Drosophila melanogaster: one gene and its partner. The protein of the gene in region 1 interacts with the protein of each later gene in a pairwise test. Each region holds a gene or a part of one and is shown on either strand. Other genes may lie near its edges.

The links.
Region 2: the proteins of pkaap (region 1) and elgi interact in a two-hybrid assay, tested with the Drosophila melanogaster proteins (one large-scale study listed by BioGRID).

What each region holds. Positions count from the first base shown.
Region 1 is NT_033779.5:16,286,535-16,291,819, reverse strand, and holds pkaap (pkaap), read right to left. Parts: upstream 3,531-5,285; 5' UTR 3,377-3,530; coding exon 3,349-3,376; intron 3,221-3,348; coding exon 2,948-3,220; intron 2,678-2,947; coding exon 1,619-2,677; intron 1,550-1,618; coding exon 1,041-1,549; 3' UTR 625-1,040; downstream 1-624. Other genes in the region: CG17329 (uncharacterized protein), read right to left, coding at 1-478; crp (cropped), read left to right, coding at 4,631-4,722.
Region 2 is NT_037436.4:15,954,833-15,959,105, forward strand, and holds elgi (early girl), read left to right. Parts: upstream 1-1,717; 5' UTR 1,718-1,917; coding exon 1,918-2,007; intron 2,008-2,090; coding exon 2,091-2,233; intron 2,234-2,306; coding exon 2,307-2,751; intron 2,752-2,806; coding exon 2,807-2,972; intron 2,973-3,034; coding exon 3,035-3,138; 3' UTR 3,139-3,601; downstream 3,602-4,273. Other genes in the region: GXIVsPLA2, read left to right, coding at 388-477, 556-715, 779-1,221.

The DNA of each region.
Region 1 (5,285 bases):
AAAAGCTCGGACTGTAGATCCTGCGCACGTGGAAGTGGCGAGCCCGTCGCCGGCAGATTGGGCAGCGATGATTGCGCCGAATGGCCATGTGGATGCAGCTGGAGCCAAACAAATGGCCACAACGGAGCGAGACCAGGCGATGTATTCCGTTGTCCGTCCAGGGCAACAGGCAAATGGAGCAAGTTGAATTCTCCACCATTCTGTCCAGACGCTGATTGAGTGTCTTCACACCCGAATGGAGCTCTGCGATGAGAACGAGTTCGCCAATCCTGTGCAAACGTTCCTCCAGGGTGGCATACTGCAGCATCTTTCCCTGCAACAGGCGTAGGATGCGACGACGCTGAGTATTCAGATGCTTCACCCGCAAATTGTGATCCCTGAGCTTGCGGACTTGCTCCTCCAGATTGCCATTGGACGGCTCCGTCGGCTCCTGCTGCTGCTGCTCCGTGCGCTCAAGTTCCTTCTCGATTTTCTCCATTTCCACCAACAAGAGATTGATCTGTTTTTCCTGCGTCTCTGTCTCTGTTTCCGTCGACATTTTGTATTGTAGTGACAGATGAATCCAAATTCGGATTGTTATGTAGATTGCGATGAAAATATAAAATAATTGCATTGAGAAAATTTGGTTACTGAAAAAGTTTATTCATAACAATAAATCTTCCTTGGTAGTGTATCATCAGTATGCAAAAATATTCATATACATTATTATGTTATACAATTGTTTAATCATATTTAAACGGAATGAAGTAACTTAGCTTCTATTTCATATTTGAGTTTTGCCTTCTGTTGCTGTAAATAACAAATGAGCGAGCGATAGTTTAGTTAATAATGCGCTTTCAAAGCCCATAGCATTAATTAAAATAAGTTAAAGTAAAGTATTTGATTTGTTCAACACAATTTGTACATAAGGAGAGGGTACTAGAGAGAGCTTCTGTTGCGACTTCTTCTTTGTGCACATGTCGTGGAGATTCTCGCAAAAAAGAGTAATTTGTAAAAGAATGAGAATAAATATGAAATAAATTCCGTAATGGTAAAGCACATCAGGCCAGCGGAGGAGTCTTGCCACTAAGAGTGACACTCGTAACATCCCGGACAATCATTTCGGCCACCTGCCAGGCTATCTCCTCTTGCACATTATCCTCCGGCAGGTTCACCAGCTTTCGCATGGCATTTTTCAGCTTGCTACCGCTGACGCTCAGTGACCACGGCTGCGATTTCAGAGCCACTGCGTCCACGGCCTCAAAATCCCGCTCGTAGCGTCCCAAGGAGTTAACAAAACCGAATTTCAGTGCGCCCACAGGACGCTGCCACAAAAGTTGTGGATTCGTTAGCTGCCTAGCATCGATGTTGAGATTTCCCGACTGATGATTTAGCGCTGTTTTGGACGGCGCCTGATCCATGGAAGCCAGCAGTGTGTTGTGCTGCGAAATGTGCGTGCAGTCTGACATGGATAGAGTTTTTCGATGTCGCTGTTGTTGGCCATTGGAGGACTTGCCAGCTCTTCGCAAGCTCAGCGTGTGCTGGAGATTCGGATGAGTGGTGGAATTATCTGAATAATAAAAAGTAAGCTTAGGTTAGTGCAACACAGTGACACAGAAGTATATATATTCAAACAAACCTCTCTTGACCTTCAGTTCGTTCACGTAGTTATCGAAGATGTGCGACTTTAGAAAGTCAGCGAAATACTTTTGCTCCAGATACTTGGCCGTCACCAAGAGGGCCAAATCGAAGGCTTGCCACTGCTCATTCGGAGCACAGATCGCTTGTTCCACTCGTAAGCGCAGCTTCTGGGACATCCACAGACGGCACTCGGACTGGAGGGAGAAGTATTTGTCGTATATGATCATGGCATCGCTTTGCGCAGCCTTGCGATCCTCTTCCTTCTCCTCGCCACAAGCAAAGCTCTTGCGGAAGTTAATGGCGGTGATCCAGAACTCCAGGCATTCACGCTCTTGTCGCTGCTCCAGGTACTCGGTGAAGTAGAACAAAGCCAGTTCGCTGTTCAAGACATCGTAGATATTTACAGAGCCGCCTTCGATCAACTCCAGACAGTATGTAGAATAGTAGCCGCTCTGTAGAAATCCCTGCACATGATCCCGCTCCAGCTGCTCCAGCACAAACTCTCTAGCTTCGTCAAAGCAGCTGGCCGGAATTGGTTTGCTACACTCGGACTTATCCCTTCCGCAAAGTAGCAGCGATATATGCGCAAGGATGACGATGGGCAGCTCCACTTGCAGGCTGGCGTTCACTATCAGATACTTTTGGTATATGGCAATGGCATCGCTGATGCTGGCCCGCGATAGCTCGGCGTTCAGCACACTATCCGTTCCAGACTTTTGCCTATTGAGCTGCTTGTTGGTCTCCGCATAGATGCGGCTCTTCTCGTCGTCTGTGAGGGGTTTGCGCATTGACAGATCGCACAGCGTCTTCAATTCAGGTACATCTTTGTCATCTTTGTGCGGAGAAGATTGTTCTATTGCCTTGCGAGGAGGTTCCTCTGGTTCCTCCTTCTCTTGCGTCAGAGCCGCCCGCTTAAAGTTCTCAATGTCCAAGTAGAATTTGATCAGCGGCAGGGCCTGTCGGGTGTCCAGATACTGAACAAAGTAGCTCAGGCAGTTCGGATCGTTGACGATGGAAGCGAGATTCATGGAGAGGCGTGAGTTGTAGGTGAAAATGTCTGGGAAGAAAGCAAAAGGTATAGTTATATAGTAAAGCATAAATGCCAATTGCCATATGTGAATGAGTTTCAAGATTACAACAATTACAACTATTATGTAGACACACTTTTAAGGATTTTCGATACGTGGAATCGCTCCTTATAAGCATTAACAGTGTTATCTACGTTTTATCATGGAAAGTCGAGAATAACGCTGCGATTTGCCAATCATTTCAGTTTCAAAGGTGCCAACGTGATGAGCAATTGAACAATGGGCAATGAGGTAATTACCATCGTTGCTGGCGAGACTGATGCCATCGGAGGGGGCTCCTCCACCACCACCACCACCTCCTCCTCCTCCTCCTCCTCCTGTGGTTCCCACGCCGCCCTCCTCCTCCGCTTCTAGGAACACTTCGTCGCAGAAACTGGTTGTGGAGCGCAGCGAGTGTCGTTTGTGAGCGTTGGCTGCATCACCAGCTCCAGCAACGTCGTTGGTGTCCACATCATACGCTGGCATTTGGCCACAAATGGCATCCGTGGCATCTTGGCTGCTGCGACGTCGGCCTAAATAAAAATCAACAAAAAACCAAATATAATTGGTGTCAACAGAAGAGGAAGAGGGGTGAAGAAGAAACGGGGAAGGGGAGTTGGGTGAAAACAGCAGCGAAATTTCTTTAATTTCTTTAACTCACTGGCGTGCCTCTTGATGTAATTTAACATCTTTACATTCTCCGGCTTTCGGTTGATTCGAGAAGTGCTTCTTGTGCTTCAAAATGCCGATTAACTGGAGATTCGATGAAATAATTTAATGCAGTGCGACGGTAAATATTATGAAAATGGTTTTAGGCGATAGGGTTTTTTTTGCGACCTAATCTTTTTAATTTTTTTTCGCTGGCTGGCCACTCTGTTTGCACAGTTTTGGGTTGAGTCTTTGCTAAAAGGATTCGAAACCAATCTTAACGAACAGCGAATTCAAGCGGCGAAAAGCGAACTCACAGAAACACAGCGAATATTAACGGCGAAAAGCGAATTCATAATACTGGGCGAATTTTCGCTGCGGAAAGAAAATTCATAATACCGGTTGGCTAATAGCGGCGAAAACATAATTCACAATATTCACAAAGAAAATGTAGAAATTGCGCTTATTTCGATGTTTAAATATTGTAATACTTAAATATTTGGAGTTCAGTTTTAGTTTAAAATTAATAAAGTTATGAAATTTTTTGGGACAACGCGGTCTTCAATTTTTGCAAATTTACCCATTCAGATGGCGTATTGGTGGATATAAACATTAAGCAGATAGGTGGCGCCTTAGCAAACGAAAATTCAGTGTTGTGAAGCGCAAAAATACGAAATATCGCAGTGGCATCAATGTAATCGATAGTGCCATCAATGTATTTCCCTATGTGCGATTTTTTCCTTGGCAGCCGTGGTCACTCTGCTGTTTATCGCCGAATTGAACGCACGTAGCGGACCGGACGGATATCGCATCTTCCGATCGGAAAAATCGTACAGTGCAGCCAATTCGCCGTCTACAGAAATCTATTAGCGCGCGTGTGTTGGTGCCAGTGCGGTGGCAAATTAAAACAAAAAACATCTGCGAATTTGAATACGCAAATCTCATGCTCACTAAGAGCGCAAAAGTCATAGAGTGCAGAATAGTGAATTGAAGAACTTTTGGACGCGCTAAGAGTCGCTCTCCATCCCCATCTCTCTCTCTCTCTCTTGTGTGTGCAGTGCTAGTGTGTGCGAGTGTGAGTGAGACGGGCAAACAATTTGCCGCTAAATACAAAAAGCAGCTGAGACCAGCTGACGCATGTGTATGTTCGAAATACAATAAAGTTAACAGGCTATAAATAAATTGCAAATGTTTATGTAGCCGTCAAGCAGCAGCAGTAGCAGCGCAACAACAAAAACCACGTGGCACAGACATTTTGGCCACGATAGTAAGCAAATACACAAACACGATTAAACATGTCCGCCGTACCGGTTGCCATCAAAACGGAGGAAGTTATTCTAGAGCACGCCGAATACAACAGCGCCGAGGAATTGGATGAGGAATTGCAGTAAGTTTGCATCTTAATCGAAATCTCTTTTGTTTCAAATAAAAACAAGGCGAGTCAACAGCTTGGCTTGCATTTTTATCACGCAAATTATTGATTATTTTTACTACTTTGCTAGTGCTCTCCCTTTTCTCCGTCACCGTATCACTCGCGCTCTCTCTAATTCTCTCGTTTGCTTTTTGCCGCCGTTTTGCCGACAAAACAAATACGGCACAAAAACACCACCACCATTAAGACCCATCTCTCACTCACACACATGCAAGCTAGCGTGTGTCGCATTCCATTCCATTTCCATGCCGTTTTCTTGTTGCTGGAATAAATGTGCTCCTTTTTTGTCTCGTCGTTCGTGTCTGTGCCCCCTTCTCAACATCCTCTCTTTTTTTCCGCCGCTCTCGTCCAGCGTTTGTGTTGTTGCTGTTTTTACGCTCTGCCTTTCGGCGTCCATATTGTAAAACGGCTGTTTTGTCAATTTGTCAGCAGTGTCGGCAGACGGGCAACAGTGATGGCACAAACATGAGTCAAGGGTACAGCTGTTAGAAACGATGATTTTTTATTTGCTTTAACTT
Region 2 (4,273 bases), on another chromosome or scaffold:
AAATGTTTTGAGTTGTCTGTACCAGATGGCGCCAGTGTTCTGAAATTCAATTTACTTTTATTAATGTATAGCATTAATTGTAATACTCTCTGCAAAGCCAACAAGATTTTATTTTTCATAAATTTTTTTGTTTTATAAATCATAACGTATTTTATTTATAATATTTAAAAACGGTTTTAAATTTCCCATTAGGATTTTTTGAAATGTCAGGACAGTGCCTAAAAGTATGCAACCTCATATGCAGTTTGGTATGATTTCCGAGCCGGTTGGTATATTTGAACGATGACGCCTGGTCACACTGCTACAAATGTCTTTCGCATAGTTTAGTTTATTATTACGCGCAAACAACAAATAGCTGACCCTTCAAAAACGAATTAAACAGCGAACATGCAGTTCTCTTGGATGAAGGTGGCCATATACCTTCTTACGTTCCTAACCTACGCCTATTCAGGCTATGGATCCAGCACCATAGTCCACGTAAGGTGCACCGCTTCTCGTAGGAAATCTGTGAGAGCTAGTATCTGTTACTCCTGTATCTTCTCTCCCCGGATTTAGCTAAGGGATGCCATTATAGCCGCGGAGGCGATCTTTGGTGACGTGTTCAAGAACCTGATAGTGCTGGTGCGCAAATTTCGCACGGTCCACGAGGTTTTCGATGCGGCCGTGGACGAGAACTGCATATACCAGTGCCCCGCACCGGATATCGGAGGACCAGGTGTGGTGACGCACTGCGCATTATGTAAATTCCCCAGCATCCATATGTGTGTTTATCTTACAGCGCCCAGAGCGGTTCAGAATAAGTTCTATACCCCCACCGCAGATGGATGTGGTTCCTTGGGCCTGAGGATCAGCACAGACTATCTGCCGGCCAAGGAGATGGAGACATGTTGCAATGACCACGATATCTGCTACGACACCTGCAATAGCGATAAGGAGCTGTGCGACCTGGACTTCAAGAGGTGCTTGTACAAGTACTGCGACAGCTACGAGAAGTCCATAGCCAGCGATCTGATGATGAAGGGCTGCAAGGCGGCTGCCAAGATGCTATTCACCGGCACATTGACCCTGGGATGCCGCTCCTATCTGGACTCCCAGCAGAGATCCTGCTATTGCGCCCCGCCGAAGAGCTCCTCCTACAATGGCAATAGGCAGGGTAATAGCAATAGTAGGGAGAAGCAGCAGCGCCAGAAATATGGCTGGAAGGATCGCAACGAGATATAGTACAGGATCACTGGCTACGAGGGTGCGGGGACCTGGGGGTATCGGATTAAGCGTTAAATGTTTTATGTGTTGTGTTAGTCTATGAATTGGGTAGCCATGTCCATTGGACTCCCTTTTTGACGAATTTCATTATTGTATACCAAATAGTGGCATGCCAACGGTCCAGACTGTTAAATACATTGATATTTTTACCTATTATAAAGATGCTATATTTTTAAATCAACTGTGCGCTGATTAATCACCGGTGGCTTATGCTGACGTGGTCCTTTGGGCAGGATATGTATATTATTTATTAATCATATGATCGACAAGTGTGTAAACATATTTTAACCAGGACGATGACGTATTTAATTTGTTAAGCTGCCTGGCCAAAGCTAATTTAATAGTACAAATAAATGAATGGAGATCAAACAAGAATTCTATTATATCAAAAATTTTGACTTTAAGTCAAACTTAAGTTTAAAACTAAGGTGGAACAGAAAATATCTCAATATTTTCAAGCTAAACAGTTATTTTAAGAAGCCATTTCTCGCGGATTACAGCTGAAGTGCCATCCTAGCTTTCCAACACTACTCAGTCACACTACACAACACTGCACTGACTGAACCGAAAAAAAAACACACAGATTTTGCAATCCGCAGAAAAGAATTATTAATAGTATTTTTATGCGGATGGCCAGCGTGCTGAGGACCTAAGATGGGCTACGATGTGAATCGCTTTCAGGGGGAGGTGGACGAGGAGCTCACCTGTCCCATCTGCTCCGGAGTGCTTGAGGATCCGCTGCAGGTTTGTTTTGTTTGCAAAGAACGCACACCGCGAATCATACATATGCTTTAAATACAAACAATCATACATATCTACCGATTCAGGCCGTGATGTGCGAGCACGCCTTCTGCCGCGGATGCATTAACGAGTGGCTAACCCGCCAGCCCACTTGTCCGGTGGATCGAAATTCCCTGACTACTGCCAACTTGCGGGCAGTGCCTCGCATATTGCGCAACCTACTGTCCAGGTGAGAAAAACCCAACGCCTTCTACTCTGTGAACCTTGTGGACTCTAACTAATCTTTGACCCTTGCCAACCAGACTGTCAATCACCTGTGACAATGCGCCTTATGGCTGCACGGCTGTTCTCAAGCTAGACGCCTACAATTCCCATTTGGACGAATGCATTCACAATCCGAAGCGACCATTTCCCTGCGAGAAGGGATGCGGCTTTGACATACCCAAGGATGAGCTAAAGGACCACAACTGCGTGCGGGAGCTGCGCACTTTAATTGTCAAGCAGACGGAAAAAATGGGTGAGCTCAAATCGGAGCTCACCGACCAGCAGCTGACTATCAACGAACTGAAGCGCGAGCTGCAGCTATTCAAGGACTTTATGCGTGCCATGCGCGTCTCCAATCCTGCGATGCGGGCCATAGCCGACCAGATGGAGCGCGACGAGGTGATCCGCTGGAGCAGCACACTGCCCCGGGCCAGGGTTACGCGCTGGGGGGGAATGATCTCTACGCCCGACGATGCACTGCAGGTGAAGCCCAAATTCTAAATTTTTTTAAAACGTTAACTCACTTTTCATTTGATAGCTCATGATCAAGCGCGCTTTGTCCGAGTCGGGCTGTCCGCCACACATCCTGGATAGTCTTATGGAGTTCTGCCACGAGCGACGTTGGCCCCGTGGGCTCAGTTCGCTAGAGACACGTCAAACCAATCGTAGGATCTACGACAACTATGTGTGTCGACGCATTCCAGGTAACAATTTTAAACATAAATATTAACAACAAGGCTTTATCTTTAAACTTACTCTTCCGCAGGCAAGCAAGCTGTGCTCGTTTTGAGCTGCGACAACCTCCACATGACTGAGGACGTCATGATCGATCCAGGTTTGGTCATGATCTTCGCCCATGGCATCGAGTAGGCCCTCAGCCGCTGATTAACCACTTATCCTAGGTTAAATGCTAACTATATCGAACAGTGCTCAGTTTTGTTGATTCCTTAACGTAAGAGTAAGCATTAAAAACAATATTGTAAGGAAAAACTCGCAAAACAAACCATTCAAGCGCCTCATGACGACTTTCAAGTTGTACAAAAAATATATATTACTTTCGGTTCATTGTGTTTTATCCATTTAGTTAGTACGCAAATTCGTATACATCATCAAGTCGTTCGCATATACCCAATATTACATGTTTGATTAAGCGATCTCAACAAATGTCCCTTTGTTATCGTTCACTTCATTCTCATTTTGATGGAAGGAAGCTGTGAATGTCCTAATTCGCGTTTAAATTCGTATTGCACAACTTACTTAAATTTCTGAAATATTTGTCAATACTTTTAGATTAAATGTGGAAAGAGTAATAAACAGTTTATTTAACTAATGTATTCATGGAAGAATTTATTACTATAATAAACCATTTGCTTTTATAATTGATTTCTTTCAATTACGAATTTAAATTGTAATAGTATGTTACAACAAAATTCCATTTATTCATTTATTTAAGCACTCCCATGAATTATTTTTCTGAAAGATTGTCTAGCCTTTTAGATTAGAAATAGAAATAAAAGTGATTATTCCAACTAAACCGATAATTCTAGCCTCTTATCAGCTGAAAGGGCAGACAAGCGTCTGCCTTTGGAAATCCTACACAAATGTTCACTGGGATGCCCCCCACTTGCAAGCACCAACTCATTCGGGGAGATCTGTCCGCCTCCACTCTGTGGACCCGTAAAAGTTCTGGACAACATCTGTTTCCCGAAATGGAAATCGAAAAGCAACAAAAACCAAGCAGCAAGCAACCAAGCAACAAAATAAACAAAAGAAAACCAAACTAGTTCCTCCACGAGCTTTGGCCGCCAACCGGTTTCGGCTTTTGTACACCCGTTTTGTTTTTTTCCTACATAATACAACATTATACAAAGTTTGCATCGGTTACATGTGCCAAAAATCGTTGGATTATACAAGCCAGTTTTGGTTTTCAATTTTTTTCTTCGTATTTGCCGAACATCTTGAATATTGATAGAAGCAATTAGCGCCATCCAGACCAAAGGGGCAG